Diceros bicornis minor: one gene and its partners. The protein of the gene in region 1 purifies or fractionates together with the protein of each later gene. This does not show direct contact. Links are inferred from orthologs where the notes say so. Each region holds a gene or a part of one and is shown on either strand. Other genes may lie near its edges.

Region 1 (10,637 bases):
GGGCCGGCCCCGTGGCTTAGCAGTTAAGTGCGCGCGCTCCACTGCTGGAGGCCTGGGTTTGGATCCCGGGCGCGCACCGACGCACCACTTGTCCGGCCATGCTGAGGCCGCGTCCCACATACAGCAACTAGAAGGATGTGCAGCTATGACATACAACTATCTCCTGGGGCTTTGGGGGAAAAAAATAAAATAAATAAAAAATAAATAAAATAAAAAGTTTACATAAAATTATTAAAATAAATAAGTAAATAAAATAAAATAATCTCCTTTAAGTATATCCAGTTAACGGTTTTTTTGTGTGTGTGAGGAAGATCAGCCCTGAGCTAACACCCATGCTTATCCTCCTCTTTTTGCTGGGGAAGACCGGCTCTGAGCTAACATCTATTGCCAATCCTCCTCCTTTTTTTTTCCCCCAAAGCCCCAGTAGATAGTTGTATGTCATAGTTGCACATCTTTCTAGTCGCTGTATGTGGGATGCGGCCTCAGCATGGCCGGAGAAGCGGTGCATCGCTGCAAGCCCGGGATCTGAACCCAGGCCGCCAGTAGCGGAGTGCGCGCACTTAACTGCTAAGCCACGGGGCCGGCCCTCCAGTTAATTGTAAATACCAGAACAATTTGATCCCCACCATCATCCACTTAAAAAAAACAAGCTCAATAGTTGCTAATTTTATATTGTTCATTTTTCTCCTTGAATTTGCTTTTCAGTCTACTTCCCCAGAGAATATTGTCTTAATATAATATAGTCTGATGCTTGAAAATTTTATCATCCTTTTCTGCAATCAAAACATACAAATGAATTTATATAATTTAAAAAAATTTATGATTGTGTTTAAAAATAGTACTATTATTGTTACATAATTGATCAAAATAATATACAGTACAAATTTTATTACTTATTAAACATAAAAATGAGCTGGGCTATGGCTTCTATCTTTCTTTCTTTTTTCCATTTAATTCTTGTACCTGTGGATGAATATTACTTATTTTTAGAATGGACAGAGTTCAACATCAATTCCATTCTTAGTTTTTGTTTGTATAGATAGACATGTGGGAGATCAAAATTGGCCACCTCAAAATATCTCTTTACCTTGATTATTTTCTCTGAAGGACATTTGACCTTCCCCTCCCAAACTGCCTAACAAATTTAACATAGAAGGGCTTTTCCAGGAAGAAACCACTACCATATGATAGCTGAAGTATAATGTAAAATAGATGTGATAAGAAAGGCACCAAAAAGCCCATCTTATCAAAAATTCTGTCTCTCCAGCCACATTCTCTATAATTGGCCCTGTAAAGAGTTGTCTGACAAACATTTGCATTTCCATCTCCACGTGAGTTTTCTTCTTCCCCTCTGAAATCCCAAACCACTACCCCCACACCCTCCTTATCTTGAGCTGAAAAATACTTAAGAGAGCAACTTAGTCAGAATGATGAATTGCTCAGTTTGTATTTTCTGAGTTTCTCCCATGTATACATGTTATAAAGCTTTGTCTGATTTTCTCCTGCTATTTGGTCTCATGTCAATTTAATTTGTAGCCCAGCCAGAAAGGACCCAGAGTGGATAGAGGATAGTCTTCTTCCCCTTCAGTTACAAGCACTAAGATAACTTGCTCACATAAATAAGTGGATGAAAATAGAAGTCTTATTAAAGCAATGTCACTTAATTGTTTTAACTCTTTTCAAGTTATATGACAAAAATCACAAAATCTATCATCCAAAATTATTTTTAATGGTCTACCAGCCTTCACCAATAGCTTTCAAAACAAAGAATTGGAAACGACTTGCATAAGCATTTATGACCCAACAATTAGAGTCATCAGTATTTCCAAGAGTCCTTTGTGTGTGGGGGGGTGTGTGGGTGTGAGGAAGATCAGCTCTGAGCCAACATCTGTTGCCAATCCTCCTCTTTTTGCTGAGGAAGATTGGCCCTGGACTAACATCTGTGCCCATCTTCCTCTACTTTATATGGGATGTCGTCACAGCATGGCTTGACAAGCGGTGCGCGGTGCGTGCCAGGAACCTGGGAACTCCCGGGCCACAGCAGCAGAGCGTGCACTTAACCGCTACCCACCAGGCCGGCCCCAAGGAGTGGTGTGTTCTCAAGCCGATCTGTTTTCGAAAACAATACACCATCAATCTGATGACTATTGCTCTGAAAACTCTCGGAGGGCAACACTCTTGGAGGGCCAGCGTTGTGCCTTGCTTGTAACGATCCTTGTGGCCACAATTAAGAGCAAAATCCCCAGGGCTGGGGAAGGAGGGAGCTGGTTATAATGACTCAGCAGTTCGTCAGATGGCAAGGTCACCACTTGATTATTGCCCTTCAGACTTTTAAGAAGTCAGACTCACTAGAAAAAAAAAATTGAGGGCTGGCCCATGGCTTAGTGGTTAAGTGCGCGTGCTCCGCTACTGGTGGCCCGGGTTCGGATCCCGGGCGTGCACTGACGCACTGCTTCTCCGGCCATGCTGAGGCCGCGTCCCACATACAGCAACTAGAAGGATGTGCAACTATGACATACAACTATCTACTGGGGCTTTGGGGGGAAAAAAAAAAGGAGGAGGATTGGCAATAGATGTTAGCTCAGAGCCGGTGTTCCTCAGGAAAAAGAGGAGGATTAGCATGGATGTTAGCTCAGGGTTGATCTTCCTCACAAAAAAAAAAAGAAAGAAAGAAAAAAAAATTGAGGCAGTCCATCAGATCCTGCAGAAGATAGTGGGAGGGATGGGATACATAGGATGTGTCTATTGATGGTTAACCTTTGCTGGGCTGAGTTTGAAGGATCCTAAATTCTGATCACATAAGCCAAATTTGAATGTCATTATGAGGATATCTGGTGTGAAACGTTGGGCACTTGGTCCCTCAGGACACCATTTGTATTGGGGAGACAGTGGTGAGGAATTGGGGGGGGGAGGGTAAAAAAAGAGAAGAGCAGCGCCTGGGGCGACGGGGGAAGACCAAGGTGTGGGGAGAGAAAGGCAGGGCTACACCGGGACAAACCTGCTTCTTTCCAACTCCTGCCAAGGAAAACACAAATTCAAGACATCTCTCAGCCGAAACGGCAAGGGCTATTTCAAATCTCAAATCTCTAACTTAATACCTGTCTGACTTTGGACAAGCTAATTTACCTGCTGAGTCTGCCCAATCTGTAAAATGGAATGTGAATACCATTCCTAACTTCCTCACAGGAGGCTTCCAGTGTACTGGTAACGTCTATCTTTGTTTAGATGGTAGCTACATTGCAAAAAAAAACCTCACAGAGCGTTACGTTTAAGATTTGTGCATTTTTTTGTATGTATGCTATACTTCCATATAAAGGCTTACAAGAAATAAAATTGAAAAGAACATCCTCCTTCCAGGGTTGCTGTGAAGATTCAATAAAATCATGTTTATAGCCTGGTACAGTGCTTGGCACATAAAGCCGTGGCCAGGGTCCACCGACCAGATAGAGAGACGAGGAACTTTCTATGTCCTGGAGTCCGGAGACCCCAGGTCTTCCTTGTTATGGTCAGCCTTTGTGTTGTGGCTGCTCTCTAGGCCTCAGTTTGCCAGACCAAATAAGATTAGATAAAATCTGGGCAGCTGGCCAACCCGACTCTAATGGAGAGAATGGGGATGTGGGAGATCAAGATTTGGTCACCCTGAAATATATCTCTTTACCTTGATTGTTTTCTCTGAGGGACATTTGACCTCCCCCACTAACTGCCTAAAGAATTTGACATAGTAACTCCTTCCTGGAACAGATCTTCTATCTGATGGCTGTAATATAATGTAAAATAGATGTTACAATAGGAAAGTCACCAACAAGCCCATCTTATCAAAAATTCTGTCTCTCTGGCCACATTCTCTAGATGGCCCTGCAAGGAGTTGCCAGACAAACATTTACATTTATAAGGGAAATCTCCATTTGTAAAGGTATCTCTCTCTCTGTATTGGGAAGGGGGGGGATGGCCTCATTTCTAGAAACTTATCAATGTGGAACGTGAGGCCTTAAAACTGCATAATAACCTTACTCTTATTTACTTGCTTCAGTGGTAATCTCCTAGGAACTGACTCCCCCTACCCTCAACATCCTCCTTTGTTCTTAGCTAAAGATGGTATTTAACAAGAGAATTTCTGCTATTGTGTTGAGAAACTCAGTGTCCCCGGTTTCTCCCATGTATACATGTTATTAAACTTGGTATTATTTTCTCCTACTAACCTATCTTATTAATTATTTGGCCAGCCATAAGAACCTAAAGGGAAAGGGCAGAGGGGGATTCTCTCTCTTCCCCCACAGAGGGAAACCCCGGGCAGTCAGCGCTGCAGGACAAGACACCAGAAGAACGCCAAACGTGGCACTCAGGAAGCCTCCTCCCTGCGGCAGGGGAATGAGCTCCAACGGCCTAGAGCGGCGTGGCCACCACGCGCGGTGCACTGTGGGCCAGCAGAGGCTCAGCCTGGCCCCGCCCCCAGGGCCCCCTCCGTGGTCAGAGGCGCATGCTTCCTGTGCAGGCGCATTCTCCAAACTTGGGGGTTTCGTTTGTCCGTGCTGGTCCCAGTGGGACCACCAGCACCCAGGGGCGGGGATGGTACAGCCTCGCGAGTCTGGCGTGCTCACCACTTCCACCCCAACCCCCGAGCTCTTTTCCGGGGGTAAGAGGCGGGGTCCACCACGGCCAGTTCGGCTGAACGCCCGGCCTCCGTCCCTCCTCTGGGAGGAGCAGCCTCTTCACCGCCAGACTTAAGCCTGATCCCTGCCTCCACTTTCCGGTGACTTTCGTTGCAGCCCACCATTCCCGGAAGCTGAGGCCCATTGGATCCTTAGCAGGGCGCCGAGCTGAGCCGAGTTCACACTCTCCTGTTCACGCTCTGGGCTCGTGCCGAGGTGAGTTCCTCCTGCTGCTGCCCCATCTTTCTCTCCCTAGATAGAGCGGAGAGCGTAGCCTCTGGAGGCGGCCAGACTTGGTTTCGGGTTTGAACTTTTCTTCTTCGCTGTGTGATCTTGGATGAGTTCCCAGTTTCTCTGGACTTCAGTTTCCTCAGCAGTGAAACGAGTTCCTACATCAGAACTGTAGCGAGAATTAAGTGAGATAAAGTTTTTAAAGCTCCCGACACATTTAAGGTGCTCAGTAAGTTTTAGTTCCCATCTTTTTTGTTTGCTCAACGGCATAGTTTTTCCAGGAGCTCTGTCCTTCCTATGGAATTGGAGAGGTGGCTTCTCAGAAGTGGCGGGAGCGGGTAGAATTCTCTTACTTAGGCAGTTGCCTTGGGTTTGGCATGTTTATCTGTTGCCCCAGAGAATGTTTTTCTGTTGCCACTTTTTTAAGTGAGACGAATTTGAACCTTCATCGACTCTGAACCTTCACCGGTTGGGGCTGCTATTAATTAACTTCTCCCTTCAGCTTGTCCACACTCAGGGCTGTAGGACCTCCCTTAGAAGAAGGTTGGTGGCTCTGCTCCGGCATGTTACTTTTCCCAAGGTCTAAGTTTTGTCATCTGAAATACAGGAGCAATCCTAGCATAATCCTGTCTGGAGCCACTGGTATTTTTTGTGGCTAAAGTGCTTTGATATTTTGCAGAGATGATTCTTTCCAGGTTACCCAAGAAGTAAAGGAGGCTGGCGATGGAGGCAGTGACTTCCTCAAATACCCCTCCAGCTGGCCAAAGTCCAACTGTCAAGATCACCCCCATTTGCCTCTCTTTGTGGGTGTTTAGTGTATGTGTATGTATGTATGGAGCATGCACTCTGGGAGTGAGGAGTTCAGACAGATGATGGGCCCTGACCTCAAGGAGTACCTAGGTTTGTGGGAGAAACATAACACACAAATACAGTGATGTATATGGGAGGAGTCAGAAATTTAAAGTGCCAGCTGAAGGATTAGCAGCAGTCAGCCGAGCAAAAGGTGAGACTTGGGGAAGGAAAGTGTGCAGAGGCCTGGAGTCAAATGAGTGGTGGCTTGTTCTGCAAAGTCTGGAACATGGAGTCTGGAGTCTGGAAATGAGGAGGTGGAGAAATGAGGAAGGTGGGGAGCCAGATTATGAAGAGTATTACTAAAGAGTCTGGACTTTATCCTCAAGGTAGGAGAGAACTGCTGGAAGAGTTTGAGCCTGAGAGTCACATGGTTGCATTTGGTGAATGGATTGTGGGAAGAGGGGAGACACTGGAAGCAGAGCGATCCCTGGTTCAGGTCAGGGTGGTCAGAGCTAACATAGTGCCAGTGGAGGGAAGTATGGATGGACTGGAGAAAGATTTAGGAAGTATATATTTTTAAATTATTTTCACATACATTAAGAAGTACACAAAGTGTTATTTCAGTCTTAGGTTTTACATTACAGTTTAGAGCAAACACTGTCTTTTTTTATATTTACAAGTATTAACAGGATTTTTAACTCACCCAAACAGACCAAATCTGAGCCACCATTGCCCATGTTGGTTTCTTAGAATTACAGGAGAAGATGTACTCCCCTCCCCATCACCTGTCAAGACTAGAATCTGATAATACTCAGAAAGGCCAGAAATGAACTGAAATACTTTATTTAGATGGCTTTTTTTAAGACCCCATGGATTATGCTGTGAACATGTTGTCTGGTTTGCTTTAACACATTGTCCAGGGTCTTGAGTCTGTGGTGAGACAGAGTATACAGAAAGAAAGCGGGGATCAGGCACTGTGTAAAGTGCTTTAGATATAGTATCTCTTAAGAATGCAGGGGCTGAGATTCAAACCCAGGTCTATGCAACCCTGTAGTTTGAACTGTTTCCTCTGCACTCTGCTGCTGGATTTGACAAGTACAGTTTTGGACACATTGAGTCTCAGATGCCTATAGGACATACACTGGAGATGTCCAAAGGGAGCCGAATAGACCGAACTGGTGGGAAGAATCAGTGCCTAAGGTGGTAACTGAAGACATGAGCTCAACTAGGGAGTGAGAAGAGGATTGGGGACAGAACCCTGAGGGACACCGACATTGATGGGAGGCAGAGGAAAGGCCCATGCAGCCAGGGGACACTCATGTAAATACTGCTTCCACTTTTTCCTGTGTTTTCGAGTTCCCTGTGTCCAGGCAGGAACTATAGAGCCCTCCTCTGAGAAGAGAAGACTGAGCCCCAGCGAGAAGGAAGGCAGGCACTGAGTTGGAATCATAAAACCTGAGTCCTGATACTACCCCCTACCCCACCACATACACTCAGTTTCTCTGTTTTATATCTAGAATCTCTCCCAAGATAACATGCGGGTTTCTGAGTGCTGCCAGAGGTCCAGCTCTGCAGCTCCTGACAGACTCAGAGCCTGTTAATGCAGGGCTAGGCTGGAAAGCCGTTGAGTCAGGCAGAAGATGAGGAAGTCAAGAGCTGTCATAGGATGACTTCCTGTCCTCAAGACAAACATCTGTCTTGTGCTGCACCCTCTCCGTTCCCTCCTTTGGAACTCTTGTTCTTTGCAGATCTTTCTTAGGTGTTCCTACCTCTTGATCCCTGCCCTGCCCTCCAAGCCTCATTTTGGTTTTCAGTTTCACCAGCAAAAGAAAAGGAGAAGCAGACATCAGGTTTCTTCTTCCTTTTCCCCTCAGGCTGGTGTTTGTTCAAGCTCTCAGCCCAGGTGTAATTTCAGAGCCCTCCCATGTGTGCTGGGAAATCGGGGAGAGACCAATAGGTCACTTGTTTGGGGATCAAGTCCAGGAAACTAGTCACAGACCCTGGTGGCAGCTGGCAGGCTAGTTCCTCCTGTGAAGTCCAGACATGCTTGCCTGACCCCTAAGAAGTTTGATAACAAAGAGTATTGCCCTCAGCCATCTGTGGTTTGCTGCCCAGATTGAACATTTTTGTTTCTGTTTTAACAGAAAAGAGCATGTTTACCATAACCAGGTTATACTAGACTCTAAAATTCTTCCTGAGTCAAAAGTATGAGGAAAGACAATTTTAGTGTATTGGTTGTATTCATCACTTGTCTTATCACCTGCTCTACCGTAATAATCTTGATGTCCTTTCAGAACTTGGAAACAAAGGTTATATTTATAAAGGCACTGTTGACAATGAAGTTAATCCAGGGAGAGTGATATTTATAGTACTGATGAGTTCACGGGAAAAGGTTGTTTCTACATTATTGGCTCTTGGTGTGGTGAGTGTTCTTTCTGCTTTTTGGTTGGATGACTCCTGTTTCTTAAGACTTGACTTAACTCAGACTTGACTTGACTCAGATATCACCTCCAAGAAGCCATCCTAGCCAGATTCCCCTTTTCTTGCAGCACTTGTGCAGATTTTGGTCATCTCTCTCATACATTGTGCTGGACATCCTCTGTCCTCCGCCCACCAGAACATGAACTCCAGGGGAGCCGAGACTCTACTTGAATATGTGTGTCTCTTGGGTCAGGCACAAGGCCTGGAACATTCATCATTTGCTGACTGAATGAGTATTCTTGCGCCATTTGGAGACTTCTGATTTTCCTAGCTCTCCAAAGGTGGTTGTTCCAATCACTCACATGCTTTGCTCAGTTGGAAATTTTCTTCTATCTGTAATTTACTGCTTTCTGCTGCACTGATGTCCTGTGTCTAGTTCCCCTTCCCCTTGACTCTTGGGAGAGTCCAGTTGTTAAAAGCCAATGTCAATATTCCATGGTCCTTGCGCTACAGAAATCACTTGGTTTTCTGTAGCACATTTTACATGTGTTTACTGTGAGGCATTGCACATGTATTTTATAGGTCTGTGTTTACCTGCCTTTTTCTTGCCTTTTTCCATTAGCTCCTCCTTGGGTCCTTGGCTCTGCTACTTCTTATTTGTTTTTCTTTTTTGATGAGGAAATCAGCCCTGAGCTAACATCTGATGCCAGTCCTCCTCTTTTTTTGCTGAGGAATATTGGCCCTGGACTAGCATCCGTGCCCATCTGCCTCTATTTTATATGGAATGCTGCATGACAAGCCGTGCGTGTGCACACCTGGGATCCTAACCTGCGAACCCCGGGCTGCCGAAATGGAGTGCACACACTTAACTGCTGCGCCACCGGGCCGGCCCCATTTTTTTGTGTGTGAGGAAGATTAGCCCTGAGCTAACATCCGATGCCAATCCTCCTCTTTTTGCTGAGGAAGACTCGCCCTGGGCTAACATCCCTGCCCATTTTCTTCTACTTTATGTGGGATGCCGCCACAGCATGGCTTGACAAGTGGTGCCTCGGTGCGGGCCCGGGATCTGAACCCGCGAACCCCGGGCCGCCAAAGCGGACTGCACGCACTTAACTGCCACGCCACCAGGCTGGCCCCAAGCTCTGCCACTTCTTAGATGTTGATTGGGGTGAGTAACTTCACCTGTCTGAGCCTGTTTTTTATCTAAAAAATGCTGTACTTTCCTTATAAGAGCCCACTCGGGCCTGTCAGCATGGCCGATCTCTGTGAGAGGGACTCACAGAATCTTTGTAGTTCTGACAACCTCCTGGGAATGTTCATTTCATCCTCAGAGGAGTGACCTTTTCCTGAGCCTCTTCTGTCATCTGGTCTCGCTTTGTCTCATAATGACCTTTGCCTGTCTTACACTGGCTTGAGACATTATGTAATCAAGGCTGGGTCCTTCTGGAGAGACACTCTGCCTTTGTTTTTAGGTGTTGGAGCTCTTTAATACAGACCTTTAGCCTGGTAGAAGGAAGGGCAGCCAGGCTGGTGGTCCAGTTAGGGTTTGTCCAGGAGCTACTGGCTTTGGTACGTTCTGGGCACCGTGTCTCAGTTGCCTCTGCTCATAGGCACATGCACACAACAGCATGTTTGTTCTCCTGTCACCTCTGTGTCCCTTTCCCGCCCATGTTTTACAGGAGTCTTGACCGGTGGGTAGCTGAGGCCCAGCCAGCAGCACTGACCTCCGCACCATTCTCTCCCTGTCTGTGTTTCAGGGGGCAATGGCAGCTTCCTGTGTTCTCCTGCACACTGGGCAGAAGATGCCCCTGATTGGACTGGGCACCTGGAAGAGTGAGCCTGGGCAGGTGAGGGATGAGGGAAGAGGAGGAGGGCTTCTTGCACCTCTGCCAGGGAAAAGGCAGTATTTGGGAGAGGGTCCCTACATTTTTCCTAGCAGCCCCACCCCCATACTCCAGGTAGCAATGAGCCTGGAGGTCAGTTGGAAGAAACAAGAAGGGACCAGCAGTGAGCCCTTGGCTTCCCCAGCTGACTCAGAGGAGTGCCTGAGGGGCCCAGCAGGGCCAAGGGCATACAAAGGAACCCTTTCCCTGACTGGATCTGCACTGAGTGCTGTGGCAGACATGGGACCCCTCTGTGCCTGGCCCTGTGCCGACCCCTCATATGGCACTTACCACCCTGTGCTGTGATCATGTCTCCCACACTGGGTGCCTTGGAGGGCTGGGCCTTTCCCTAGCGCTCAGTCCAGAGTAGGCACGCAGCAGGTGTCAGGGTTTGAAGAATAACTAGGTCAACTGTTAGCAAACTTTTCCTTAAAGAACCTGATGGTTAATAGTTTAGATTTTGCTGGACAAGTTGCAAAATGAAGAGGATTATGTACTTATGTAACCACTTAAAAATGTAAAAATTGTTCTTAGCTCAAGGGCTGAAAAAACAAAAGGCAGCTGCTAGCTGGAGTTTAATGACCCCTGGTATAGACCCTTGCAGCTTAGGGGAGCCTGGGAATGGATACTGTTTTCCTAGGGTTGACACTGCTGGAGGTTC
Region 2 (10,808 bases), on another chromosome or scaffold:
TATTTTGAGCTGAGCACGGAAGCCCGGGTAGGGTGTAGGAGAAATTGAGGGAAACGTGCTAAGGGCATGTTGGCTGGTTGTGTCCTTCAGTCCTTGTGTAGCCCTGTGAGGCTGGGAGGGCCGCCATGCGCTCCTTCAACCAGTTTTATGAGCGCCCACTATGTGCCAGGCCCTGTGTGGTGCTGGGGACAGTGCTGGCCCTCGTGGAGCTGACACTAAAGTGGGGAGACGGATAATACAGAAGATAAATAAGTACATAAGTAGCACATTAGATGGTGCTAAGAGCTGATGAGAAACTATGAAGCAGGGGCAAGCGGCCCGGAGGTGTCCGCGGAGGGGCATCTGGCGTTCTCAGCGGGTGGCCAGGGACGGTGACAAGGGCCAGAGATTTGAAGGAGGTAAGGGAGCAGTGTCCCCTGTTTTGGGACACAGCGAGGAGGCCAGTGGGGAGCCGGAGCAGAGTGCAACAGGGGATGAGATCGGAGAGGGGGTGAGAGCAGGGGTGTAGGCCTCAGCGGCCACGGAGTTCCCCTGGGCTTTTCCTCTGAGAGGGGAAATCATTGGAGGGTTTTGAGCAGAGGAGGGACAGGGTCTGACTTAGGTTTAATAGGATGCCTCTGGCTGCTGTGTTGAGAGTAACTGAAGGAGGCAAGGACAGAGCCGGGGGTGAGGTGACAGTGACTTGGGTCACGGGTGGAAGCAGTTGCCAGGGGCTGAAGGGGTTGGCTTCTGGACTCTCTAGGACTTTTTGATGGGTTGGATTTTGGGTGTGAGAGGAATCCAAGATGTCTCCTAGATTTCTGCTTGAGCACCTGGATAAATGGAGTTGCAGGTCTGGAGGGGCAGATCAAGGGCTCTATCAGGACATGTTAAGTTTGCGACGCCTTCTAGAGCTGCAAGATGTCGAGCAGACAGTGGGATGAGTCTAGAGCTCAGGCAGGTCTAGGCTCGAGATACAAATTTGAAAGCCTGCGGCTGGGTCACATCACCCGGGCTGTGAGTGGTAACTCACCCGAGAGTGAGTCAGTGGAGACAAGGTCCGAGGGCAGCGCAGGATTCTTCAGTGGAAAGAGCGTGGGGAGGTGCGCAGAACCACAAAGTGGCCAATGAGCGGGGAGGAAAATCAGGAGTGGGTCCTAGACGTTAGGAAGAAAAGTGTTTTAAGTGTTTCTAGGAGTCGGACGTGATCAATGGCATTAGATGCTCCTTTAGGCCAAGTCAGATGAGGACGAGAATTGGCTATTGGATGTAGAGGCCACTGTGGCCCTTGCTGAGAGCAGATGAGGGCAGTAGAGCCCAGAGACACGGCTTGACAAGAGGCTTGGGGCAGCGACGCAGCCTCACTCCCCCGGTCCCAGTGCCTCCCTTGCCCGGGTAGAGGCCCCCAGCCCAGCGGCCATGCCCCTCACTGCACCGGGCTTCCCTGTGCCACTCACAGCACTCCTGCTCTCCCCAGACCCGTGCTTGCCCGGGGCGAGTCAGGGCTCTCCTGTCCGCTGGGCCCCCTCCGGGCCCTGGGAGGCCGCCACTGGAGCCCTGCCTCTTCCTGGCAGGGAGCATCGAGTACAGCTGTCCGGCCTCCAACGAGTGCGAGATCACCAAGCGGAGACGCAAGGCCTGCCAGGCCTGTCGCTTCACCAAGTGCCTGCGGGTGGGCATGCTCAAGGAGGGTGAGCACTGGGCAGGGCCTGGGCGAGGGCTGGGGGAGCTGGATGCATGGGGCCGGGGGGCAAGGCCTGGGAAGTCCTGGTGGAATGGACTGGGCGGGGGTCTCTGCAGAGCAGGCCACCCCCAGCCCCATGGACACAGTCCTCTCTTACAATTCAAGGGGTACGTCTGGACCGTGTCCGGGGTGGGCGACAGAAGTACAAGCGGCGGCCGGAGGTGGACCCACTGCCCTTCCCAGGCCCCTTCCCTGCTGGACCCCTGGCGGTAGCTGGAGGCCCTCGGAAGACAGGTGAGAGCGTCGTGGGTCCCTGGAGCTCCAGGGTTGTCGGGGGGCTAGGACCCAGAGGCCTATCTGGCATCATTCACCCAGGAGAATAATTATCTTGGGCACTGGGACCTAAATTTTCCCTGCATCTATTCACGTAGTCACTTATCCCAAGAAGTATTTATGAAAATACCTTTTTCTGTGTCAGGCCCCCAAGTCGTACAACTGGGAACAGGGCAGGGTTTTCTAACGCTCAGAACCCGTGCACACACAGACCGGCTCTCCCCGGGAGACAGTGCGAACCCTTCCCGGAGAGAGGGGTCTGAGTTGGCTGGCCAGTGGCCACTGAGGAAGGCCACAGGGGGCCCGGCTCTGGGAAGATGCTTGACTCCGAAGGGCCTGCAAGGTGATGAGTTCGAGTGCTTCTTCCAACTGTGCCTGTAGCCCCGGTGAACGCACTGGTGTCCCACCTGCTGGTGGTTGAGCCCGAGAAGCTGTATGCCATGCCCGACCCGGCGGGCCCCGACGGACAGCTCCCGGCTGTGGCTACCCTCTGTGACCTCTTTGACCGAGAGATCGTGGTCACCATCAGCTGGGCCAAGAGCATCCCAGGTAAGGGCTGGCCCAGGTGATGTGGGGCTTCCCTGGGTGCCTGGCTCTGGCGCCCTTGCTCAGCCGGGTCTCCTCCCCACTGCCCTCCAGGCTTCTCGTCACTGTCGCTCTCCGACCAGATGTCAGTCCTGCAGAGTGTATGGATGGAGGTCCTGGTGCTGGGCGTGGCCCAGCGCTCACTGCCACTGCAGGACGAGCTGGCCTTTGCTGAGGACCTGGTCCTGGATGAAGAGGGGGCGCGAGCAGCTGGCCTGGGGGAGCTGGGGGCCGCCCTGCTGCAACTGGTGCGGCGACTGCAGGCCCTGCGGCTGGAGCGTGAGGAGTACGTCCTGCTGAAGGCCCTGGCCCTTGCCAATTCAGGTGAGTCTGCAGTGAGCTCCCTCCACAGGGCCCTCTGGTTTTTAACTCTGTGATGGTGGCACAGTCCCATTTTGCAGGCAAGAAAAACTGAGGCTTAGGGAGGAATAGTGACTTGCTGAAAGTCACAAAGCAAGCCAAGGGCAGGCCCAGGAACTGCACCTGGGATTTTGAGCCCTAGTGCCATACTTAGTGGAAAGGTGAACAATTTAATGGGAGGGAAGGTGGGCAAGACAAGAGGTGGCTGTAGTTGAGAGAGAAAAGGTGGACCCTGGCTCATGAGCAGGAGCAGTGAGTGGTGCTTCAGTCACCCAGTGAACAAATCGGTGTCTGGTTCTTCTTCTTGTTTTTTTTTTTTTTTTTTTTTGCCGAGGAAGATTGGCCTTGAGCTAACATCTGTGCCCACCTTCCTTCAGTTTATATGTGGGATACCACCACAGCATGGCTCTATGAGCGGCGTGTAGGTCTGTGCCTGGGATCTGAACCTACGAACCCCAGGCCACTGAAGCAGAGTGTGTGAACTTAACCACTACACTATGGGGGCCAGCCCTGTGTCTGGTTCTTCCTTAGGCCCCATGCAGTGTTGTCTAAGCAGATGGGGGCTCTGCCCTTTCTGGAGGTGGCCCGGGTCAACAGCTCTCTCTCCTCTCTCTTCGCAGACTCTGTGCACATTGAAGATGCCGAGGCTGTGGAGCAGCTGCGAGAAGCTCTGCACGAGGCCCTGCTAGAGTATGAAGCCGGCCGGGCGGGCCCCGGAGGGGGCGCTGAGCGGCGGCGGGCAGGCAGGCTGCTGCTTACACTGCCGCTCCTTCGCCAGACAGCGGGCAAAGTGCTGGCCCATTTCTATGGGGTGAAGCTGGAGGGCAAGGTGCCCATGCACAAGCTGTTCTTGGAGATGCTTGAGGCCATGATGGACTGAGGCACGGGGTGGGCACGGGTGGGGGTGCTGGCAGGACCCGCCCAGCAGAGGGTCAGCCCCAAGGGGGCAGAGCTGGAGTCTGGGCAGTGCCACAGCCTGCTGGCAGGGCCAGGGCAATACCATCAGCCCCTGGGAGTGGGCCCTACGCCCTCCCCTCCCCCCTCCTAGGGGGTGTTAGAAGCTGGGAACGTGTGTGCCCAGGCTCTGGGCACAGTGCTGCCCCTTGCAAGCCATAACGTGCCCCCAGACTGTAGGGGGCCTTGCGGAAGCCATAGGGGGCTGCAGGGGATGAGTGGGAGGCAGAAGCCTGATCTGGGAGGGAAGGGAGTGGAGGCCACAGTCTCCCAGTGGGTGATGCTTTTGCTGCTGCTTAACCCGACCCCCTCTCCAGAGCAGAGGGGGATTTGGAAAGCAAAAGCCCCTGCCCCCTTCGCTCCTCTCCTCATCATTTGCATTGGGCATTACTGCCCCCCCTTGAAGCAATAACTCCAAGCAGGCTCCAGCCCCTGGACCCCTGGGCTGGCCAGGGCCCCCCATCAGCTCCCACCCAGCCTCCTCAGGGGGCAGGGAGAGCACTGCCTCTACGCCCTGCAGAGCAATAACACTATATTTATTTTTGGGTTTGGCCAGGGAGGTGCAGGGACATGGGGCAAGCCAGGGCCCAGAGCCCTCGGCTGTACAGAGACTCTATTTTAATGTATATTTGCTGCAAAGAGAAACCGCTTTTGGTTTTGAACCTTTAATGAGAAAAAAAATATATCGAGCTCAAGAACACTGCGTGTCTGGCGTGTCACTGGGTCAAGGGTTGGGGATACACAAAACAGAACTAGCAAACAGGATATACATAAACCAATGTACACATGGACACAGTGAAAAACTGGTGCCCAGCACGATTAAGTCTCGGTTTCTTCATCACTCAACAGCATGTTGGGGATACCGCGGCTGATGGGGAACAGACGTCCAGACTCCGGGCATTGCAGGGTGCCCTCCAACACATCCACCTGCGGGGAAGGGGGGACAGGGCTGAGCACTGGCAGGCTCCGTGCGTGGGGGTGTGGCCAGGGAGGCAAGCAAGCGATGGGCCGGTTCTCACCTCCAGCAGCACGTGGTGCATCTTCCTCAGAAAATCCTCATCACGTTCATACCCCTCAATCGGCCCTTTGGGCACCTCGACCAGATGCAACTGTGGGCAAGACACCTAACTCGTCCCTGGGCATCGCCGACCCTCGCCCCAAGACCAGGCTTCCCTGCCTGGTGCAAGGGGCTGCGGCAAGACCACCCCCCAGGGCGTGCACGGGCGGGGGAGGGTCCTCACGGTGTCCGCCGCCTCCAGGAGCGCCGCCCACTCCACCTTGGGGATCATCCGCGCCACGAAGTCGGGGTTGAACTCCACGGGGTTGATGCGGACCTCGGTGGCCTGCGGGGCGGAGGGGCTTAGTGAGGCGGGCCGGACCCTGGCTCTCTTATCCCGCCCGGGACGGGGGCGAGAGACCGCCCGGCCCGTACCTGGAGGCGCAGAGGGAAGCCGCGGGGCCCCACCCCCCGCACGTGCGAGCTCAGCAGGTTGTGGGTGAGCAGCTTCATGTCGCCACCGAGCGCTCTGGCCAGGCCGGAAGCGGAAGGAGGCCAGGAGTCCGCCTGCGTCACTTCCGGAGCCGCTCCCCTCTGTATCCTATTGGATAGCTGAGAGAAGCGGAAGCGGGAACTTGCTGGAACTTCTGGGGCTCGCCGGAGCCGAGGTATTTGAAAGGCCTGGTCGGATCACGCGCTGCTGCCGGAACCGTCTCGGCGGCAGGTGTCTATGGCGCAGGCCCAGTGGTTGTGACTGAGCCAAAAACCTCCAGTGGTTACAAATCATGTACAGTGCAAATTATATGTGAAACAACTGCAATGGGGCCTCCGTCGAATGCAAAATAAACATGTTTTATTTACTCCTACACCAGCGCCTGACGCCGTCATCTCCCGCCCCTCGCTGTCGGTTAAAAAACGGAAACACCGCCCCAATCCGTAAATCGGGCCGGTCCAACAGGCACCCGAACCTTGTATGCAAATAATCTGCTCGGCTGCCGGAAGCCCCGCCCCTTTGTCCGTGCATCAGTGGTCCAGCCCCTAATGCAAATAAGCCAAGCGCCCCGGAAGCTCCGCCCCTGCACGCACGCCTGCGCAGTGGAGGGGCCTCGCCGGGGGCGGGGCGGCCGAGGCCCCGCCTTTGGAGAGTCGCTGGTGACGCCGGGCCCCGCCTCCGGCCGCGGCCCCGACGGGGGCGGGGCTTGGCGCAGCGAGACGGGGCGGGGCGGTTGTGGCGTCGGTGGCAGGCATGCTGCAGGTGGGTCTATGCATCCTGGGACGCCGAGCGGACTCAGTATTCGCCCAGGCTGCGGCAGCGGTGCGAACAGGCCGGTGCCTGGAAGGAGGCCGAGAGTGGACGCTTGGTGGGACCCGCGGTTTCAGAAGCGCCTCTGCAGCCATGGCCCCGATCAAGGTGACCGCTGGCCCGGCCAGGCCTGACCCCCAGCCCCTCGCCATCCACCCAAGGCCACCCTCCGTCCCGCTTGTCTGGGGGAGAGTCACCCTCTTTCCTGCCCTCCGGAATCCTTCCCTCCTCCCTAGTGGCCCTTCACGCTGTCTGTCCCCCTCATCCCCTCAGCAAGACCCCGTGGCGGCCCGGGCGGCCCCACCCCCACCCCGTTCATGCCAGTTTTGGGAGTCTCGTGTCCCATTTGCTGGGCCAGTACCCGAGGCTCTCGAGCCTTCCTCTCATCTCCCTTCCACATCGGCTCTGCGACCCCTGTGATGGGTCTGCACCATTTTCAGACAATTGAGTATCGTGGCCTCCCCCACCTTCTGGAACCATGTCCTCTGCCCCCGGGTCCCTTTTCAACCCCCATACATCTCCCCCGACCCTGTCCTACGCTTTTGTCAAGTTATTGGGCATCACTCTCCCCTATCTTCTGGAACAGGTGTTGTCTCTTAGAGTCCCCTTGTATCTCCCCCAGTCCACTCCACCCATAGCTAATTCCCACCCTTTTGCTGAGTCTTTCACCCCTTCTTATCTTCTGGAACCATCCCCAGCTCCTTGGAACAAACCCCTTCCCCTCCCACAGTCTTCTGAGACCCCCGCCTCCTCCTGCTTCATCCTACTCCTACCACAGAGTTTCTCAGAGACGCTCCCCCCTACCCCTGACTTTTGTCCCTTTTGTCTACCTCCTCCGGGCCCAGGAAGCCCTCACACACTCCCAGGTAGACCGACCCCTCACCCTTCAAGAGATTCCTTCTTTTATTCCATACCCCCTGGATGTAGGGACCGGCGCCCCCACCCCCCGACTTTCCCGCTTTGTGCTGCCCTCCCTTTTTTTTGTCTTGAGGGTGAGACACTCAGACCTGGCCAGGGTCCGCTCCCTCCTTGTCAGGGCCTTGTCCTCACCATCAAATATAGCCCCCCTGCCCCTCCGCCCCTTGTTCCTTTATCCTACTCTTTTCCTGTAACTCAGCTTGTTTACTCAACCCCTTGCGACACCCAGGGAGGCCTTCTCTCCCTTTTTCTCTTGTCATCAGTGGGCCCTTTAAGAAGAATAGGGCCGCCTTGAAACCTGGGGGATGTGGGGTAACCAGGCGGTGGCGGGAGAAGGGAGGGCGACAGGGAGGGACCTCTGGAAACTCTGACAGGGTTGAACTTTCCTGCTGGCTGTCAACTGTGCTCCACCAGGCACAGCTGCCAGCCCCTCTGGTCCCCTGGCTCTGGTGCTGCCCTTCCCTTGGCCTCCCTGCCCAGCCCACACCTCGACCCCTGACCTCGGAGCCATTCCCTCTAGGTGGGAGACGCCATCCCGTCGGTGGTGGTGTTTGAAGGGGAGCCTGGGAACAAGGTGAACCTGGCAGAGCTGTTCAAGGGCAAGAAGGGGGTGCTGTTTGGAGTCCCCGGGGCCTTTACCCCTGGCTGTTCCAAGGTGAGGCCCCGCCCTTCTGGGCTTAGCAACTGGGACCTTGTGTACATGTTCGTATTGTTCATAAGTCTTCCACGGAGTCCTGAGGCAGTTGGCAACGAGAGTATGTAGATGATATGACAGCTAAAAAGCTGGTCAGAGCATTTAGAAAATAAGTGGAGGTTGCGAAAAGGTAGCAGTACCAGAAATATAGGGGAAAAGGGTATTGCAATGAAATTCAACACTTCTTATTGACTTTGCTGGCTGACAGGCACTATGGAGGGTACTTGGAACTCGGGTAAATAAGACATAGTTATGGCCACGGGAAGTTCATGGTCTTGACCACTTAAATTTGGATCCGAGCTTCCTAGTGGCCAAGGCAAAAAGGAACTGTGGCTTACACAGTTCTCATAGTCTGATCAAAGGTGTTGAAGCAGGGAGATAGGGAAGGCCTGGAGATAAAGGGTAGCCCAAGGAGCAGAGGCAGTTATCCCTTTGCTGACCCTTTGTTTCCTCTCCCCAGACCCACCTGCCAGGGTTTGTGGAGCAGGCTGGGGCTCTGAAGGCCAAAGGGGTCCAGGTTGTGGCATGTCTGTGTGTTAATGATGTCTTTGTGACTGAAGAGTGGGGACGAGCTCACAATGCGAAAGGCAAGGTGAGGTGCGGGTCCTGCAGGGGATCAGGGGCCAGGCGGGAGATTTTTCTCTTGACCTTTACTTTCTCCTTAGGTTCGGCTTCTGGCTGACCCCACTGGGGCCTTTGGGAAGGTGAGTGCCCCCCCCGCCCCCAGGGCAGTCCCTGTGCCCGGCCTTGGAAGCAGGGACTTGGAGGGACGTGGCCAATGTGGGGAGCAGCTGGGGGGCTTGGCCTGTTCTGGGCTTCCTGATCCTTTTCTTGGCCTCCCCTCCTAGGAGACAGATTTGTTACTAGATGATTCATTGGTGTCCCTCTTTGGGAATCGACGGCTCAAGAGGTAAAAGTGGGAGGGTCCTCCATGGGGTTCCCCCCGCCCCCGTCTCCATTCCCAGCCTCCAGGCCCAGGCTGTTGCAACTGGTCGCCCGTCTTTCTGGCAGGTTCTCCATGGTCATAGAGGATGGCACGGTGAAGTCCCTGAACGTGGAGCCGGATGGCACAGGCCTCACCTGCAGCCTGGCCCCCAACATCATCTCGCAGCTCTGAGGTCCAGAGCCCAGACGTGCTCCTTCTGCGCTTTCCTATTCCGCCTGTCCAGCCCTGGGCAGAGCCCAGCCCACCCTCCTGGGGCCGCCCAGTTGGAGCCTTGGCCAGATTTCTGCAGTAAACACTTGTGGTTCATGTCTGTCTCCTTGATTTTGAATTGCTCTTTCGCTGAGGGCCAGGTCTCGTGACAGTCACAGCCGGGAGAGGAGTGGGCAGGGGCTGAGGCGGGGACTAATAGGAGACCCTGAGGTAATTAAGGAGGCAGTCAGGGAAGGCCTTCGGGGGACGTGTTGTGACACACCAATCTGCAAACTGAGAAAGGGTCAGTGGTCTGAAAAGAAAGGGAAGGAGCAGTCCGTGCAGAGGAAGCATGTCTAGAAATTTCCTGGGCAGACACGAGCTTGGCTCGCACCTGTGACCTTTTGCGCTTGATCTCTGGGTGCTGGCTGAGCTCATTTAGACCATAACCCCGGGGTAGCAACTTTGGTTCCAGGCAGCCTCCGGACCTGGGCCGAGCCCCAGCCCCACCATTCTTTCAGACTCCACTGAACGTCTCCCGGGAGCACCCACATCCCAGGAAGGGCCCCTGGCACCTTGGGACCATCTGGCAGAAAGGGATCCATGTGGAGCAGTGCTGGTTCAGTCCAGGAGGGCTTCCTGGGAGAGGAGTATGAGAGGAGAAGACACCTGTGAGGCCTGCCCGGTGGTGGGTGTAGAGTGAGGAGCCGGGGGTCAGGGAGGCGGGCAGGCTTTGGGGCTGGGGCCGTTGCCGTGTGCTGGCCCTGCCCCTGGGCTTCTGCCTTTTGTCCCTGGGAAGCCAAGTGCTTGGCAGAGCAGACTGCAAATTATTAGGCCCCTGCTGTGTTTAGAGCTCCCAGCCTACGGGGGACAGACGCTTCAGGTATGGTAAAAATCCTCAATGATCCCGTGGGGTGTGAACTGTTACAGCCTGTTATATCACAGAGGTTAAGTCAACAGGCCCGGCTCATTCAGCCGCATAAGAGGAGTTGGGATTTGAGCCAGGCAGCCGGCCCGGGGCTGGCGTGGGTGTGAGCTTTACTCACTGTGCCCTGCTGCCCCGTCACCACCAGCTCCTAGGGGCCCTCCTGCTCCGCCTGGCCATCTGCGGGGGCTCAGCCCCCAGAGCCGGCCAGGGCAGACTGCCCTCAGCGAGAGGTCTCTTGGAGGACACGACCCTTGAGGCAGTGGGAATGGTGCTCCTGGCGGAGGGAACAGCATGGCCGTAGGGATGGAGGGTGGAACAGCCTCCAGTAGCTGCAGCACATAGAGCAGCTGAGAGAGAGAGAGGGGATGCTGGGAGGACAGGGGGCCTTTGAAGACTTTCACCTGCGGCCACCTTGGGCCACTGAAGGATTTCTGCAGGGCAGTGACAGGTCAGCTTTATACCCAGGCTGCTGTGTGGGGAGAGAGCTAGAGCTGGGTGAGTGGGGGGTAGAAGAGGCGCCAGGTGGGCAGCATAGGGAAGGACTGATGTCAAGGAGGTGGAGGCTGGGACACGGAGACCTGTTGAGTTTTGTGGTGGAGATTGAGTCCAGGGGGCCCCTCAGCTGGAGGTCTAAGAGGCTGGCTGGTTGGAGTGGTGTTCTGCGAGGCCGGGGCACTCAGCAGGAGGGCCCGCTTCCCTGCGGGGGTCCCGGGTGCTCAGCCTTGCCTTTCCCACCCCTGCCCAAGTCGCTGTAACCGTTGAGGCCGTGGGGCAGTCCCTTTGGCTGTGGATAACACCCTGTTCCTCGTTCCTTCCCTGAACTAGTCCATGTGGGCCGCACCCTCAGCTTCATCAAGGACGGAGTTTTTTGACATATAATTCACCCTTTAAAAGCAAACAGTTGAGTGTTTTTAGTCTGTTCACCAAGTTGTGCAACC
Region 3 (10,513 bases), on another chromosome or scaffold:
GAAATATCACTTTTATCAGCAGTGGTAGTAAAAAGTTCATGCACCAAATGACGTTTCGGTCAACAGACCTCATATATGATGATGATCCCATAAGATTAATATCAAATAGCCTAGGTGTGTAGTAGGCTATACCATCTAGGTTTGTGCACGTACACTCTTATGATGTTCGCACAGCAAAGAAATTGCCTAACGATGCATTTCCCAGAACATAACCCCATTGTTAGACAACACATGACTATAGTAATATTTCACCCGTTGATGAACATTTGGGTTTAGTTTGGGGCTATTATGAATACAGCTGCTATGAACACTCTTACGCAAGTCTTTGTGTGGATACATGTTTTAATTTCTTTTGTCTAAACACCTAGAAGTGGAATTACTGAGTCATACGGTAAATGTATGTTTAACTTCCTTAAAAAAAAAAAATAGTTAAAAAAAACCCACCAAACTGTTTTCCAAAGCGGTTGTACAATTTTACACTCTTAGGGGCAGGGTATGGAAGTTCTTTTCAGCTAATTCACAATCTCACCAACATTTGGTATTATCAGGCTTTTACATTTTACCAGTATAGTGGGTGCAAAGTGGTATCTCATTGTGGTCTTAATTTCAATTTCCCTGATGACAAATGATGCTGAGAATCTGTCTGTTCACGTGCTTATAAGTCACTCATGTATCTTCTTTTGGGAAGTGTGTGTTCAAATCTATTGCGTTTTTACCAGTTGTTTGTGTTATTTTTACCAGTTGTTTGTCTTATTATTGAGTTGTGAGAGTTCTTTATATATTCTGGATATAAGTCCTTTGTTATGTATATGTATTGAACATATTTTCTCCCAGTCTGTGACTTGCCCTTTCATTTTTTTTAAACAATGTTTTTCAAAGAGCAGAGATTTTTAATTTTAATGAAGTCAAACTTACTAGCTTTTTCTTTTATGTTAGTGATTTCCGTGTCCTGCCTAAGAAATGTTTGCCCACCCCAAGGTTGCAAAGATTATCTCTAACATCTTCTTTTAGAAGTTGTATAGTAAATTTTGAGTAATTTTCTTGTATGGTGTGAAGTAAGGATCAAGTTTCTTTCTTTTTTTTTTTTTTTTTTTTACAGAGATACCCATGGGATTTTTGAAGGAGGAGAAAGAGTCTGGAAGCAGCAATGGGGAGCATTTGCCTGACCTCCTGGCCCTGACATATATGGGGCCTCTACTTGAGAAGAGCAGAAATTTCAGTTAATGCAAAAGAAACATCTGAGAAGAGGTTAAGAATATAGTGGTACTTGCTGAATGCAGCTGGTTCCTGGAGGGTGCACAGGGAGAGTTTGAGAGGGCAGGGACAAGGATGATTGCACCAGACCAGGGGATGTAAAGAGCAGCAGTATGCAGGGTAGGTTATTCACAGGGATGGTTATACTGTTTGAAATTTACATTAAAATACTGAGCATTGAAAGTGTGACATATATTTATATGTATATTCATTTTTAAAATCTAAATAGTTAACATTTGAAGTACCCTAATCAGGAGTCCACTCTTGGGGTGTTTAAATTAGTATTTGATGCAAATCAAAACTACAATGAGATATCACCTGACGCCCGTCAGAATGGCTATAATAAACAAGACAGGAAACAACATGCGTTGGAGAGGATGTGGAGAGAAGGGAACTCTCATACACTGCTGGTGGGAGTGCAAACTGGTGCAGCCACTATGGAAAACAGTATGGAGATTCCTCAAAAAATCAAGGATAGAACTACCATATGATCCAGCTATTCCACTCTTGGGTATTTATCCAAAGAACTTGAAAACACCAATTTGCAAAGGTACATGCACCTCTGTGTTCATTGCAGCGTTATTCACAATAGCCAAGACTTGGAAGCAACCTAAGTGCCCATCAAGGGACGAATGGATAAAGAAGCTGTGGTATATATACACAATGGAATACTACTCAGCCATAAGAAACGATGAAATCCAGCCATTTGTGACAACATGGATGGACATTGAGGGTATAATGCAAAGTGAAATAAGTCAGAGGGAGAAGGTCAAATACCGTATGATTTCCTTCATTAAGTAGTAGATAATAACAACAATAAACAAACACATAGGGACAGAGATTGGATTGGTGGTTACCAGAGGGGAAGGGGGGAGGGAGGAGGGTGAAAGGGATAATTCGGTACATGTGTGTGGTGGTGGGTTGTAATTAGTATTTTGGTGGTGAACATGATGTAATCTATGCAGAAATAGAAGTACAATGATGTACACCTGAAATTTTTACAATGTTATAAACCAATGTTACTGCAATAAACAAAAAATTAAAAAAAAAAATTAGTATTTGAAAAATCTCCAAATAGGAATTGATGTACCAGAGGATGTTTCTGCCAACTATTCGAATATCCTTATAGTTACAGTTTGTAAATTAGTGTAAGGAATGTTAGATATTTTTCACTGGTTAAAAGAGGGGTATTCAAGATACATGTTGGGCTGGCTTAAAACAGTGCTGGCAAGTCCTCTCCTTCTTGAACAGAGTATAAGAATTGGTGTGCATTTGGTGTGACCAGGTGACCTCTTTGAACCTTGATTTTCTTCTCTGTAAAATGGGAAGAATAATATCTGTCTCCGAGGGGATGCTGAGAAAAATGAAGCTACACCTACCTCCAGGCCTGGCACTTAATGATTGTTCTATGCATGTGTATTTGTTCCTTTTCCTTCGACCACCTTCTTTACTATATTATTTTGAACTCCCCATTTTATATCCGTTACCATTTTCTCTTTTGTGTCCTCATCTCAACTCTCTTGCTAGACACAGCCTTCAAGCTGGCCTCCCTCTGAAGATCCCAGGGCAGTCTATCAAATCTTCTACACCAAATCACCTGGGATGCTTCTTTAAAATGCAGATTCCAGGGATCTACCTCCAAAGGCTGTGCTTCCATGTGCCTGTCTGTGTGTGGTCCAGGAGTCTGCAGTATCATCAGCACCCCTAGCTGTGCTGAATGAGGTGATCAAGGGCCACACTTAGAGGAATCTGTGATCTGAGCAAACTTTGCCTCAGAAGCCCTAGAGCTGCATTTTCTTCAAATTCAGATGTGAACAAAGACAGCAAACCTAGTTTTCCAGTCCCCCATGGGGCCTCAGACTGAGCTGACCCAGAAATCTGAAGTGAGTTCCTCACCCACACTACTCATTTCTGTTCTTCTTGACAACATGGAAACATCACTTTTGCCTATCCAGCATCCATGTCCCCTTTCTCTGGTGACCCTCTGGATTTTCCTCACTCCTGGTCAAAATGGTTCAAGCAAGGCTGACGCCTCCCCCCAACTCAAGTCAATGAAGGTCAGCCTATGGGACATTTACTAGGACCGGGGAGAAGATTGGCCTTCCTTCAGGGATACTGAACTGGTAGGAACAGAAGCCTGGCGCTGCCTGGGCTAGTCTTACATAAGGTGGAGAACCTCCTGAGAATGAAACCATAGAGATCTGTGACATCTGTAGGCCCCTGGGGTTCCTGATAATATGAGTTACTAATTCTCTTTTTGGTTTAAGTCAGTTTGAGCTGGAATCTTCCTTACAACTGCGAGTTCTGACTAATACACAGAACTGACCCCCAAATGAAGGCCTTTACATCACCCTTTCTCTCCTCCTCTCACCCCTAGCTCTCTGCACCAATGGATCCCCCCTGACTGGGCTGTCCCAAACAATTCCCCTCCACCTCACTTTCCTCACAGAACATCACCTCCTTGCCACAACTGAAATCCTAAGGACGCAAGTTTATATCCCTGTAGGCAGGGGATGTTCCTCTTTAGGTAGGGCCAGGTCTAGCCCACTTTTCTTTCACACTTAGATAGGGAAAAAATCCTTTTCCTTTGAGACTCGTGTTATTGAGCTCACTAATCTTTACTAATTTCCTGGTTACTTAATTCACTTAGGACTTGCACATCTGTTTTACAGCCTCTTCTACCTCTGCCCTCATTCCAGAGGGATCTCACCATTCCATTTAATAGCCTGTAACCATACTTTATACAGCACTTACTGCATATCAGGCAAGATTCTTAGCACTTTACACATATCTTAGCTCACTCAACCCTTATAATAGCATATTATCCCCATTTCATAGATGAGGAAACTGAGGCACAGAAAGGCTATTTAGACTTGTCTAGAGTTACCCAGCCACAGAGTGGTAGAATGGGGATGAGGACAGGGAATCTAATCACAGGGTCTGGGATCTTAACACACACGCCAGCCTCCCAGTGCCCTCTAATTGTAGCATCCCCCATATCTACTTTATATTGGTCCTCTGAAGGTGGGAGTCAGGACCTCCTCCAACCGAGTCACTGGACATTTGTAAGGTCCTTGGAGAGATGTCAGCTGAGGGTGGTTTGGATGGGCATTGGAGATCTATACCTCCTCTTCCTACAGCTGAATCATTTAAGGTCATGTCCCATATAAATGTACCAACTGATAGATAGGCCTAGAAGCTGGGATGTAAGTTGGGCTGAAGACACAGCAGCAGCAAAGCAAGTTATACATTCTGCTCCTGGGACTCCAGGAGCACAGGCCTCTCCTCTGCCCCAATAGTCTTTATTGTCTATGGGAAGCTTGCTGCATTCAGGCCAGTCCACCCTCCTCTGTCTAGGATTGTCCTTAGCATGTGTCCCTTGTCCATATCCTTACCCATGGCCCTGTGCTCCTCATCCCTCCAGAAACTTTGCACAATAGGTTCAACACCTCTGGTTTTCTTCCTTCCTCTGTTTGAGAGAGCACGGAGAAGCTAGGGGCCCTGAGAGGAAGCCAGGGAGCAATTTCAACATCCCAGCCAATCACACATGGATGTAGCTTCGTCCAGAGCTGCTCCACTCTGAAAATTCACACTCAGACCCCCCACCCCAACATTCCGGCTCTCATTCCTCTCTCCAGCCCAAAAGCTTCTCCACCTCCCCTTCCAGCTGCTGAAAGGCCCTCCTGGCTTCACAATGCCCGCTAACATAACTTCCACGAGCCCCAGTCCTGCCGGACGCAACCTGCCACACGCATCCCTATAAGAACACAAACGGCCCACTTCTCTGCTCCAGGTCTACTACTGGTAGAAAAAATTCAACAAATGTGTGTACCGGTGCCATCAGAAAGATAAGGTCGCCAAGCTCAGCACGGCCCCCCATGACACCAAGCAAGCCTTATCAGTGCTCACAATAGCTACCGTTATAACTATTTACTGAGCGCTCACCATGTGCCAAGCAGTATCCTAGTCACTTTACAAGCACTTGATTTAATCCTCAAAACACCACCATGAGTTAGAGACCATCATGGGTCCCATTTTACAGAAACGAAAACTGAGGCACCGGGCAGTCAGGACCCGCTCGGGGTCACAACTGCACCACTCTGGCCGTACTCACATCCCGCACGCAGCTGTGTGCTCGCCAGGAGCCCAGCCAGGTGCCCGGCCGTCCCTATGGCACTAAACTGCGGTGTCACGCTGAAGCAGCGGCTTCACCGGCGAAAGTGAAAGAACGTGAACGAGGCAAGAGCAGCAGAGAATCCCCGCCGGGAGTTCCGAGAAGGAGGCAGGCTGCACACGCAGAGACAATTCCCGGTCTTCTTTACTCAGCACCTTGGGGGGTGCGCGCGGCTGGGGGGCGGGGGCGTGGCGGGCCTCTTCCAGGAAAGCGCCGGCTTTGGCGGCACCTTCTCGATCCTGGGCGCGTTCTATGAAGGCCTGGCTGACCCCTTCCCACGTGACCCTGTGGCTCTGGGTATGGCCGTCGCCTCCCCGCCTCCCCGCGCCGTGCACTCTGCACGCGCCCTTTTGGTCGCTCGATGGCCCCCACAGGTCCCCAATCCCAGTCCGGGTACGGGACAGCCTTGCCGGCGGTTTCGGGCGGAGGGTGCTTCCCGGAGCTCCGCCCCGCGCCGGCGACGGCCCCGCCCCCCGACATTGATCCCGCTCCCACCCGGCGGCTCCGGGAGGCGGGGCCTGGCCGGGCGACTTGGCGGGCTCGGGAGGCCCGAGCGGGCGCGCCCCCGCCACACGCACGCCGCGCGCGCCCGCCCGTCCCGCCCCTACTGCATAAAGGGAAGGAGGGCTGCGCTCGCTCCAAGCTGCGTCCGACGCTTTGGATCCGCTTCCATCGCTTGTTGCGGTCGCTCGTCAGACTCCAGCTGCCAAAATGGTGAAGCAGATCGAGAGCAAGGTACGCGCTCCCGGGGAAGGCCGGGCGCGACGCGCAGCCTCCGTAGCTGGGGAAGGCGAGGGGCCGGAGCTGGGCAGGCCGCCGCTCCGCATCCCTGGGCGAAGGGGACGCGGCGGCTCGGCCTGGGACTGCGAGAAGCCCGGGCCTGGGTGCGCCGGAGGTGTCGAGCATGCCCTGGAGGAAGGGCGGAGGGGGACGAAGGCGCCCTGGAGGGCGAGGTCGGGGTGCCCAGCGCTGCCCGCGCCCACTGCGCCCGGGGGATGCACGCGCACTGGGAGCGCCCAGGTGTCCCCCTCTGCGCCTCCTGCACCTCCCGGTCCGGGAAGCCGTAATTGAGGGAGGGGATGGAGGGAGTCCGCCCTTGGCCCCATAAATATCCGGATACGGGCCCGGGCCAGCAGGTGGAGGGACCCTTGGAGAAAGCACGGGGTTGCTGGCCGCCACTCTCTCGCCGGTGAGCGGCGTGATCCACCCGCGCTGGGTGGGTGAGCTCCCTTGGGAGCGGATCTAGGCCGGAGACCTCCGGCTGCCGGTCCCCAGAGATGACGCGTGCTGTATCCGCGCAAAGGGGGCGGTTCCAGGCTGGAGACCCTCCTCGCGTGTGGGAGTCCGGCCCGGAGGCCCAGGTGGCCGCAAGGAAGTGAGGTCCGAGCGGCGCCCTTGGGACTCCTCCTCTTGCGGCGCAGGGCGTGTTTCCGGCGGCGCTGGCTTTGGAATGACTCAGTCCCCAAGGCTAGGCCCAGGGGACTGCGCTGCCCTACCCATTTGTGATTCACCCACAGTGGGTGGATTTCTCTGAAGCCTTAAGTTCCCCTGGGAGCAGCCGTGCCCGCCTGCGTGCTCGTCGCCCCTGGGTACCCTGTTGGTGGTTCTGTCCTTTTAGGGATGCCCAAGGCAAAAAGTGTTCTCCTACTGGAGAGTCATTGCAAGCCTAATACCCTCCTGCCCGGAAAACTCAGAGCCTAACATAGTGTCTGGTATATTGTAGCTATTCAAGAAATGTTTGTTAAATGCAGAGTCTTGAAAGTGAGTGAGAGAGCATTGATGTTGCTGGAACAGTGGAAGACCTCTCCAAAGCATTACCCCTGCGGTACCCCCGACCCTAGGATAAAGCAGGGGGAAGGCGAGACCTCCCCCGCCATGAGTGCCCCCACCTGTTAGCTGCTGGGATGGGCTTTGGGAAACAAGTTTCTCTGTGATGATCCCTTATCTTTTTGTTACTTTTATAATCAGAAAACATGTATGATCATGGTAGAAAATTTGGGAAGAGGGAGATTGTCTATTTCCTAGAAGCAACCACAAAGTAATTGAGATTATTTTACGTATACTGTTTTGTTTCTGAGCTTTTTATCCCTGTCTAATTTAGCCTGAACACTTTCCATGTAACGAGAAGCTTTTGTAATGATTTCAATATCTGAACGCATTACTGCACGTTTCGGCGGTTTTCGATGCTTCAGTGAATATTTTTGTTCATAACGCTTTGTACAGACAGAGTTCAGACTGTTTCCTCAGGTTGGGGTCTCGAGTGCAGTGATGGTGAACCTTTTAAAGCTTGTCAGTGCCCCAAGAAACATAGGAGAGTTCTCCTTGCCCTCCACCCCATGAACGCTGACTTTTCCCCCGTAACTTCGGCCAAATCATTAGTAAGAAAAATAGTCCCAATCTAATCTGAATATCTTTGATTATTAGTGACTCTGAACCCCTCCCCCCGCATATGTTGATTGGCTAATGGTAGTCTGTTGTCTGCTTTTCCTTGATCAATTTTTTCCTATTGGGATCCTCCTTTTTTAAATTGTGTGAGCTTTTATATTAAAATTAGCACCCTCTCATTTGTTGAAAAGAGAGATCCTTGATAGTGAGTTTTGTTCCACATAATTTTATTCAGTACCTCCTAAGTGACAATCTGCGGTGGGGGTGTTCTCCAGCCTCTGGCGACCTCATCAGTATAACCCAGCAGGTGAGAACCCATTGAAGGAGTGAGGCAGCCTTTGAGTGGCTTCTATTAGTTGTTTCACATTCCATACACTACAAACAAAAAATTGATTCCTGGAGTACGCCTTTCAGTCCTTCCCTATTTTAGTTGTTGGAAAGATGGCACTCTCCTCCTCTCATCAGCGGGAAGATGTGCAAGGGTGACAGGAAATTCATTACTCAAAAAAGCACTAGCCTGGGGCCTAAGGACCCTGATAATCAGTTGATCTTCAAAATTGTGATCCAGAGTCATCAAAATTAAATTAATTTGACCATTACTTGTGAATATTGAATGCACCTTAGATTTTCATCCTAGTGGACTACGTTGGTGCCCTGGGCCATCCAGGATAACTCTGAGGCACTGTGTTGGTTTAGAGCCACTAGGCTCTATTTCAGACATGAGTGGGATAATGGATTATAAATGTGATGAGAAAGAAATCAACAGTTTGTTTTCTTTTCTTTAAAGAATGGTAGCTGCCATTTATTGAACTATCTTCTACACACAGGCATTTTGCTAAATGCTTCACATCCACTCTTAAGCTTATTATCTCTGGAATGGGTATGTTTAGGAAAAGAGATGCTAGACTCTGCTCTTATCTACCTCAGCTCAGCTCCATTGTTTTGTTTTCAGAACATTTGTGTCAGTAATGGGTACCTTGATTAATCCTCATTGTTAGTTTCCAGGAGCTAGAAATGGTGCTTTGCATCTTCGATAGTCTTGAATCATTTTTAAACTGATGTCTGTTTTAGGCAAACTTTTAAGTATCAGGAGATGAGAATTTGTTATGAAGTCTGCACATACCTGGCTCTGTAACTCCTGATCAGTTAAGCCAAAAGTTATCGTTGCATGCCTCTTTTCAGAGTTTTAGGTAGTTTTGCTTGAATTTGATTCAGAATCATTTTTGGGAAACCCTTGAGAGTGTTTGAAATACATTGTATGTTGAAAGTAATCCCACCAAGAATTTACTGAGGGCCAGCCATGTTCACAAACAAATGTGTTCATCTGACCAGACGTTGGCATTCCCTGACTTGTTTCCTGCCTTATGTGGATCTTGCAGTGAAGAATGGCTGGTTTGACCTTCTACAAAATCATGTTAGGGCAGGCTTTGAATGAAATTCAGCTGGAAAAATTGGTGATGGTTTGTAAAAAAATAAGTTCTGGGGGCCGGCCCGGTGGCGCAAGCGGTTAAGTGCGCGCGCTCCGCTGCGGCGGCCCGGGGTTCGCTGGTTCGGATCCCGGGCGCGCACCGACGCACTGCTTGGTAAGCCATGCTGTGGCGGCGTCCCATATAAAGTGGAGGAAGATAGGCACCGATGTTAGCCCAGGGCCGTCTTCCTCAGCGAAAAAAGAGGAGGATTGGCGGATGTTAGCTCAGGGCTGATCTCCTCACAAAAAAAAAAAAAAAAAAAAAAAATAAGTTCTGTACTTCTAACTTCCTCTCTGTGGCTTCCCACCCCCAAGCCCACCCATACACATCTCCCCACACCCAAAGGTGGGGTGGAAGTTTGTACCTGCATAACTGAAAAGCCTACAGAAGTCATGACTTGGCATTCTCAGGAACATTATTTGTGAATTGTTTCCCAAAAAAACATGAGGTAGAAACTAGAAATCTAGGGAAGTAACTGTACTTCAGAGGGATTCACTTTGGATTCACTTTTTTTTATGGTGTTTTATTTGTTTACTTTCTTTCTTTACTGCACCAGATCTGATATGATTCTTAGCTTTCAAGGGAGGGGAATGTTAGTTTTTAATTAAGCCAAGGTGACTAGTATTTTTCCCTTGAAGAAACCTAGACTTCAGATACAGATGTTTCTGTTTTGACTTCTCTTCGTTGCTCCTGTTTTGGTCAGTGCTGACTGATTAATTGTGGGTAAAAATGAGTCCCCTGTTAACTAGAAGGTTGGGTTCCTAGGGTTACAGTATCAAGACCGTCAGTTAATTATTCAGGGAGGTTGGTGGGAAGGGATTTCTTGATCATTTCTCTTGGTGGAATTTTACTTAACATGCATTCTTTATGCAAAATAACATCTAAGGAAATTCCTTTCATGAGGAACTAAAACTGTGTTTCTTGTGGTCCACAACGAGGGCAGAGTTTTGAGATAAAGGGCAGAAATCAAAGATAAACAGTGTGATCTCAATTGTGGAAACTCCATTAAAAAGAATACAAGGAAATATACTTAATGTCAACAGTGATTGTCTGAGCGTAAGGGTTTGGGAAGGTTATTTTCCTTGATATTTTTTTTGAGCTTTTGGCGTGTTCTACCATAGAAAATAGTTTAATCAAAAAAGTGTTAGCTTTTTTTCAAAAAACCTAGATTTGATGTGGAAACATTTTTAATACAAAAGTCTTTTCCCTGTGTTTGCTTAGTTTGGATATA

What was found.
Region 2: the proteins of PRDX1 (region 1) and PRDX5 fractionate together in Homo sapiens (co-fractionation; 3 studies listed by BioGRID). This does not show direct contact. The link is inferred for Diceros bicornis minor from reciprocal best matches to the Homo sapiens genes PRDX1 and PRDX5.
Region 3: the proteins of PRDX1 (region 1) and TXN purify together in Homo sapiens (affinity purification with western blotting; 3 studies listed by BioGRID, with this or other methods). This does not show direct contact. The link is inferred for Diceros bicornis minor from reciprocal best matches to the Homo sapiens genes PRDX1 and TXN.

Annotation. Positions count from the first base shown.
Region 1 is NC_080752.1:8,457,689-8,468,325, forward strand, and holds the start of PRDX1 (peroxiredoxin-1), read right to left. Parts: upstream 5,038-10,637; 5' UTR 5,033-5,037; intron 4,866-5,032; exon of another isoform or gene 4,565-4,865; intron 1-4,564. Other genes in the region: AKR1A1 (aldo-keto reductase family 1 member A1), read left to right, coding at 9,857-9,940. UniProt on the Homo sapiens protein: Thiol-specific peroxidase that catalyzes the reduction of hydrogen peroxide and organic hydroperoxides to water and alcohols, respectively.
Region 2 is NC_080770.1:8,679,835-8,690,642, reverse strand, and holds PRDX5 (peroxiredoxin-5, mitochondrial), read left to right. Parts: upstream 1-6,113; 5' UTR 6,114-6,138; coding exon 6,139-6,303; intron 6,304-7,633; coding exon 7,634-7,768; intron 7,769-8,267; coding exon 8,268-8,399; intron 8,400-8,472; coding exon 8,473-8,511; intron 8,512-8,655; coding exon 8,656-8,717; intron 8,718-8,818; coding exon 8,819-8,924; 3' UTR 8,925-9,059; downstream 9,060-10,808. Other genes in the region: ESRRA (steroid hormone receptor ERR1), read left to right, coding at 1,554-1,670, 1,829-1,957, 2,378-2,545, 2,636-2,905, 3,562-3,821; TRMT112 (multifunctional methyltransferase subunit TRM112-like protein), read right to left, coding at 4,715-4,822, 4,915-5,004, 5,137-5,238, 5,328-5,405. UniProt on the Homo sapiens protein: Thiol-specific peroxidase that catalyzes the reduction of hydrogen peroxide and organic hydroperoxides to water and alcohols, respectively.
Region 3 is NC_080767.1:19,026,387-19,036,899, reverse strand, and holds the start of TXN (thioredoxin), read left to right. Parts: upstream 1-6,055; 5' UTR 6,056-6,139; coding exon 6,140-6,163; intron 6,164-10,513. UniProt on the Homo sapiens protein: Participates in various redox reactions through the reversible oxidation of its active center dithiol to a disulfide and catalyzes dithiol-disulfide exchange reactions.